2 linked regions of the Drosophila melanogaster genome follow. The protein of the gene in region 1 interacts with the protein of each later gene in a pairwise test. Each region holds a gene or a part of one and is shown in the gene's direction. Other genes may lie near its edges.

Evidence for each region.
Region 2: the proteins of CG14488 (region 1) and stck interact in a two-hybrid assay, tested with the Drosophila melanogaster proteins (2 studies listed by BioGRID).

What each region holds. Positions count from the first base shown.
Region 1 is NT_033778.4:17,766,665-17,770,009, reverse strand, and holds CG14488 (uncharacterized protein), read left to right. Parts: upstream 1-2,223; 5' UTR 2,224-2,285; coding exon 2,286-2,391; intron 2,392-2,444; coding exon 2,445-2,743; 3' UTR 2,744-2,845; downstream 2,846-3,345. Other genes in the region: CG18635 (uncharacterized protein), read left to right, coding at 104-459, 519-724, 775-2,162; OstDelta (oligosaccharide transferase delta subunit), read left to right, coding at 3,129-3,141, 3,311-3,345.
Region 2 is NT_033777.3:8,356,710-8,360,689, forward strand, and holds stck (steamer duck), read left to right. Parts: upstream 1-1,618; 5' UTR 1,619-1,672; coding exon 1,673-1,695; intron 1,696-1,761; coding exon 1,762-1,881; intron 1,882-1,939; coding exon 1,940-2,245; intron 2,246-2,299; coding exon 2,300-2,441; intron 2,442-2,497; coding exon 2,498-2,756; intron 2,757-2,820; coding exon 2,821-3,017; 3' UTR 3,018-3,251; downstream 3,252-3,980. Other genes in the region: veneno, read right to left, coding at 3,386-3,537, 3,592-3,797, 3,855-3,980.

The sequences.
Region 1 (3,345 bases):
GCGGTTACTCATAGTTGTTCAGTATCACCGTGGATTTCGCAAGCTGCAGATGTGAGCAACGCAATTACAATACCAGATTCAAAGGGGAACTCCCATCGGAATCATGACAGACACGGTGGTCCATGCGGCCACTCCTCCGCCTCACATACTTGGTTACACCGTTCGTAGCCGCACGCGCATCTGGGTTTCCTACATAGTGCCCACCTGTCTTGGACTGTTGGTGTACATCGTTCAAACAGCCTCGGATTTGGCCCTGAGCTACCAGCACTTCAGGCAAAAGGAGCCGACACTGGGAGCTGGCACCCTGGTCCTGGTTATCCTACCCCCCGTGATCACTTTCATCCTGGTCGCGGCTTCAAAGGAACAAAGGGAATGCGCCTGCTCGGAACGTAATAAATGCGTCGCCCTTGGCATTGGACTGCTCAAGCTGTTCCTGTTCCCCTTCTTTGTGATCTTCAGGTGAGTCAATGGATTGCCATGTGGGTCACTGCCATATTTATTAACTTTCAAACGATGAGGTTCTGTACGCGCTTGTTTTGGGCCATCGAGGGACTCTTTCACGACGACGACGATGTGGAGCGCATGAAATGCTTGGCCAAGGCCACGCAAACCTCCAACATCGAGTTGTTACTTTTTGTTCAGGCCTATGCCCAGGCAGCTCCACAAATCATTCTCCAGCTGTATCACATGCTCGTCCAGGATATGTTCCGCAATTACGAGACCTGTAAGATATATCCTCATGGCATTAGCAATGTATTAACTTCTTGCTTTTAGCTGCTGTTCAATCCTTATCGCTGGTATTCTCAGCCATTGATCTGGCTGCCATAACCACCAGTTATCATAGGATCGAAAGCCAGCGGCGGGTGGGTCGCCATTATCCTTGGGCCACTCCGCAACAGGTGGACAGCCATCGATGTCAGCTGGAGCAGAATGAACGCCTATGCTGTGAGGCTGAGCGGAAAAAGCGCGAGTCCGAGCGCACCATCACCAGTTTCCCGGAATCCGACAAGATAATGGAGAACTTTCGAGCCCGCAAGTCATTGCCGAACTCAGGTGAGGCCACCCATGAGCTGCATATTCAGGGAGAAGATGAGGTGGACAACGATGCACTGGAGCAAGTGGAAACGCGAGCATTACTGCATTCCGGGCCGATAGATAATGCTACCGATGAGGAGAAGATACAGGGAACAAGGCCCAGGCTGAAAGTGCGATACGAGGACTTGGGGGACTTGGACACCATCGAGGTGTTGGACAGCATACCCGAGACGCCAGCTCCTCCACCGCCGCCAAAAACGGCGCCACCAGAATTGCCCGTTCTGAAGCCAACCGAGGAGGATCCTCCAACGCCCGACTTGCGACGAACCTTGTCCGACAATGAGCATCGAAAGAGCCGTCGGGTCACACGACCTCTGTCCCAGCTGGAAACCTTTAAGGATATGCTGCTGGTTAATGCCCAGCTGTACATCAAAGAGAATGTCCCACATCCGCCCAAGCTTCTCATTGGCAGGCTCAAGGACGAGGATCCCGAGGAGCACACTGTTCTGATTCCCCAATCACCCAAACCATCACCTCTAACGCCCAAGGATGTGGTGGACTTTTATTTCCCGCGACCCACGAAAATAGTGAATGGTATCCAACAGGATGATTTCGCTGGCAGGACGGTGTCCTTCTTCGGATGGATTGCCTTCATCACCATGAGAATGCTTTCGTTGTCCACTTTCTGTGTCTTCTATCCGAAGGCATTCTTTATCCTGGTGGGCGTACACTATGCGCTGATGCTGGGTTGCCTGGCATTGGAAACCCGTTGTCGTGGTAGTTGGAGTCGCAGCCTGTTCCTCCTTCTTCTTGCCTACATCTATATATTTGTGTTAATGGAATTCCGCGTGTCCTTCAAGAACATTCGATTGTGGTATGGTGGATACCTGGTGCTCACGCTCGTCGAGAACATTACCATATCGTCCATTTGGTATGCAAACGAGGAGTTTGAGTCCTGGTGGTTCGGTTTCATCTGGGAGTGGATCGTTTACAGTGGAATACTATTTCTGGCTACTTTAATCGTTTACTACTGTATACTCCGACCCAAGGAAGTATCCCTCATCGTGGAGGACGATTTCCCGCAAGGGGATCAACAGGAAAGTCCTGAGGACCAGGCCGTTGCCTAGCAGTTTCCGGCTAGTTTGTTATATCGAAGTAGGTAGAGTGTAAGCCGTCAGTCTGTCACTGGCAAACGAATAAATTATTTACCTTAGTATTAGATCGAAAAAATATATAAATTTTGTTCTGCAATGGTTGATCGTGGAAATAATTTGGTACTCCCAGTGGGCCCATGTTCAACGGAACTAACGGAATCTCAAGCGAGTTTTGCTCCACCCAAAATTAAGAAAGTGCTCCGTAAGTTAAGACTGCAGTATTCTAGAACTTTTCTAATCCGAATGGTCATGCAGCCACTAGAGCAAATCGCATGGAACAGTTTCTATGGCAGGAACTCTTTGCCGAATACAACCGACAGGCCTCCGCCCAAGTGGATTTGGGTGAGGATCGCACGGAGTACTACGACCAGTTCTGCAAGGATGTGCCACCGAAAAACGAAGAGACCGAGGAAGTTCTGGTCAACAAGTATCCACTTTACTGCACTACTGCCGTAACAGTATGGAATCACGAGGGAGATTTCACCAAGACTTTCAAAAGAAAATATTCTATTACCAGACCTATAGATCTGTGTCCTGATAAGTTTGCACTTTAGATGTGGAAATTGTATGAGAGTAGTGCCCACAGAATATTATTTAATTTTGATCTTTCATTGTAAATGTTACATAAAAATTAAACTTGCAGTTTGAGAAATTCTATGCAATTAGTTTAAATTAACATTTTATTTAAATTCAATCTAAACGTAATGTTTTATAACGGTTGAGTTTACAGTAGAGCATGCATACGGTCACTCTTGCAGCGGGCATCGATGGTTCTTCGTTTACGCATCGATGTTTGTTGATCCAGAAACATATCGATAGTTGTCTCGGCCGCTGACGTGTATAAAATATCGAGGGACAGGCGGTGATTTTTGAGCGATTTAATTTTATTTTCCTATAGAATATAAGCGGCGTGTGAAAGCGCAACCACAATATAGGAAAATGTTAAAGCTAGGTGCGTAGCCTGCTCGGTGTTTGAGCCGGAGAACTTTAATTTGACGCTAAATTCAGTGGAAACGCCGGCTGCAAAGTCGTAGCTCTCGTGCTGTCTCTCTCTGATTTTCGTGGTTAAGCGATTGCCGGCGACTTGGAACCTAATGGTTTTTTTTTTTATTCAACGCCAGGTCTGGTCATCTTCTGCGTGTTGGTCGCTAGTGGG
Region 2 (3,980 bases), on another chromosome or scaffold:
GATAAGAGCGCGTTACGAAACTGTTTCGAAGAAGAACAGCAGTTGGCCAGCAGCTGATAAGAAGGTGAGACAAAGAAGCAAAAATGCCACGCTGCGATAAGCGTGGCGCCTTAAATCGTAAAGTTCTTTTAACTGATGTATTTCGGTAACATAGGCTAATAGCGAATTTAAATTGGCGCCCAGTAGTATTGGGTGTTTATCGATTGACATTCAGGGCTACCTGCCTCGAGAACAGAAGAGCTATCGATAGGCAGGTTGTACAGGGATTTTTTAGTGATAAAGTAGAGTGGTTTTTTCTGCGTCTTTTTCCACGGAAGCTGTTAGTTAAATGAAAAGTAATTTAATTGCAGCAAACTGTGGCTTTAATTAAAAAGGTTTCTCTGAAGGTAAAAAGTACTTTTTCCGTTGAATGCAATTCTTCAAATGTGAACATGCTTAAGTGAAACGCGTGAAATTCCAGAGATTTGCCCATTTTGGCAATATAGGTGTTGTTGTTTTTGTGCTGCGATAGCGCTGCGCAGATCGTCTTCTTGGCTGAAAATCAACCGGATCTGGCTAGAAGGCCGCCAAGCGAGCAGAGCTTAAAGCCAAAAGACACAGATTGATCATTTCTATATGTTTTTGCAGTGTTTCACTCGCCGTGATCAGAAAACGTTGTACACCAGGTGCAACAGGTGCCGTTGTTCGCAAGTGAAAACCAGTTGAAAGCAACTAAAAAAGAAAAGCCCACAGAATGCCGCCCGTGCAGTAAGCAGAATGTTCCGCCCCACTTTCTTAACGTCCTTGTCTTCAAAACGCCCACATATTGCATCATTTGGCAGCATAATAATCATCGTTATCCATTCGCACAAATAAGCATTTCGCTAATTAATAAAAAAATATAACTAATTCAGGCTAGCAGTGCCTATCATTCATGCCCTAATCCAGCGTTAACCCTCTGCCAGTGATGGTGGTGCTTTGGACCCCCATTCAATGCAATTTTCCTGCCAGATGTTTACTCCATCGATGACGTCATGGTCATATTCAAATTTATTTTTAAACGCCGCCACTCGAGTGTGTGTGTGTGTTTGTGCGAGAGTGCGTGTCTGTGTATTGTTTACTCTTCGTATTTTTGTGTGTATTCGTCGGATTTGATTATGATGAGTGGGCCGCTGTTGTGTTGGCGGCAAACCCAATTCCAATTGGATGCTTGAATTTGTAACCCCTTTTGGAGGCCAAGGAATGTTCAATGACTCAACCAGTAATGGGGAGTTGATAGTTACATCTTATTATATATATTGTTTATATACAAACTTTTCAAATGGCGCTCCTGCTTGTAATAATTACTTCAATTACTCATTATAGCCATTCATTGTTATCCAGCTTAAAGCGAATATGATAGTTCTTCGTATATATTTTATATATGTATATATAACCTGTTCCGAAACGATATATCACCAAGCCATCACATCTGCAGCGTATCACGCTTGATATCCAACTGCCATGCGACACTCTCTGTAATGAAAGCTAAACTTCCACGGAATGCCAGAAAGCTTTTTGGCTGTGCATTCGAAGGAAATATGATTCAGACATCGTCAACAGAGCCGGCAAGCGATAAGTCTCATTGTTTTGTCCAGTTTCTCATTTCACGCCCTGCCCTAAAGTCGTTTTTCTTTGCGCTCAAGCTATAACCATGATGTACTCTAAGGCTGAAGTGTAATGGCCTCTGAATTGGTTAGTTACTTACCAACAACTGATCCTGATCTTCTTCTTAATTCACAGAGTCCAGGCAGCGAACATGTCGCTGGGTGCCATGCATTGTACGCGATGTGCCGACGGCTTCGAGCCGACTGAGAAGATTGTTAACTCCAATGGAGAACTCTGGCACACCCAGTGCTTCGTGTAAGTAAACCTCAATGTAGTTGTTTCACTAATACCCTCACTAATAAACATTTTCTAGATGTGCCCAGTGCTTCCGACCCTTCCAGGATGGGATATTCTACGAGTTCGAGGGCCGTAAGTACTGTGAACGCGACTTTCACGTGCTCTTCGCTCCCTGCTGCAACAAGTGCGGCGAGTTCGTCATCGGACGGGTCATCAAGGCCATGTCAGCTAGCTGGCATCCACAGTGCTTCCGCTGCCAATTGTGCGCCAAGGAGCTGGCTGATTGCGGATTCATCAAGAACCAGAACCGCGCCTTGTGTCACGAGTGCAATGCCAAGGTGAAGGCGGAGATTACCGGCCGCTATGTATGCCAAAAATGCCAGTAGGTTTCAAAGGCTTTAGGTGAAAACATGTTGCTAATTACTCTGCTTTTCAGCGGCCTCATCGACGAGGAGCCTTTGCGATTCCGGGGCGAAGTGTACCACGGCTATCACTTCAGTTGCACGGCCTGCGGCACAGAGTTGGATTCCACTGCTCGGGAGGTCAAGAGCCGGCCAGGATTGGCTGCTAACGATATGGTGGGTTTTTTTTTCTTTAGCAAATAAGAAGCAACTGAATTATTATTCCATTATAGAACGAACTGTATTGTCTGCGTTGTCACGATAAAATGGGCATTCCCATATGTGGTGCCTGTCGTCGTCCGATTGAGGAGAGGGTGGTAACGGCGCTCGGAAAGCACTGGCATGTGGAACATTTCGTGTGCGCCAAGTGCGAGAAACCCTTCTTGGGTCACCGACACTACGAGAAGCGGGGATTGGCCTACTGCGAGACGCACTATCATCAGCTCTTTGGCAACCTGTGCTTCGTCTGCAACCAGGTTATTGGAGGCGATGGTGAGTAACTTAATTGAACTATATTCTGGGTTTATTTAATGCGCTCATTCCATAATGCCAACAGTTTTCACTGCCTTGAACAAGGCCTGGTGTGTGCACCACTTTGCGTGCTCCGTGTGCGACACGAAGATGACACAAAAATCGAAATTCTACGAGTACGACGAGAAGCCGGTGTGCAAAAAGTGCTATGACCGATTTCCAAACGAACTCAGACGACGTCTGCGCACCGCCCACGAGATGACAATGAAAAAGAACACCTAATGCCTTGGAGCGAGTCTCAGATCCACACCAAACAGTGCCTTTGTCGTTGTAGACCCGCTTTCACTACCATTTTTAACATTTGAGAAACTAAAACCAAACAAACTAAAACCTCTTGTGCATGTCCTTTCCGTCTGTTGTAATCCGGTTGTGTGTAACTTAAATTTTAAATCGAGAATCAACGGCATCAATAGCTAGGGAACATAACATTGTGTATTAAAAGCCTTTAACGTTGTTATTTAATGGAATTTTATTTATATATAAATGTTTTTAAAATTATAAAACGTAATGCTTATTCGCAATAACTTCGTAATGTGTTTGACCCGATTTAGTTGTGGTGTCAAGTAAATGGCATTTGATGCACTTAAAATTTACAAGCTCAACAGCTTCTGAATAAGACTTCCCGATTTAATTACGGCTATATGGTTGATATATTTGATACTATCAATATGAACTGACTGATGGACCTTCAAAACCTCAGCCAGATAGGAAACCTGTGCTGCATTCGGGTTGTGCGGGAATTCTATAAAGTGTTTGTTCAAATGTTATGCTCAAGACAAATGTTTAATATCCATACCGTCAATCACGCAAAGGTTTGTGGCACAGGGAGCGGTGAAGTCTAATGGATAGCGACGGATATCCATTTCGGTTATGTCCTCTACATTCGTGTAATCGAGGTACATTACCCGGTACTTTGTCTGCTGCCGTGGAACAACTATAATCTGTTCCACTTTGCCACGATACCAGGAACCCTCAAATCTGGCAAGCACATATTCCCTGACACTGTCAAAAATGTTAATTAAATATAAACTTACATTGGTATGGTTATAGTATAGTTACACTGGCTTATAAGGCTCGCAGTCTGTAATTTCTGATAAACGAGAGTGCAAGGCGGAAAATTCGGAGGCGTAGGTGCTGTCAAAGGCCCCAAAAATACCTCGATTTTTTTTTGTACTATCCACAACG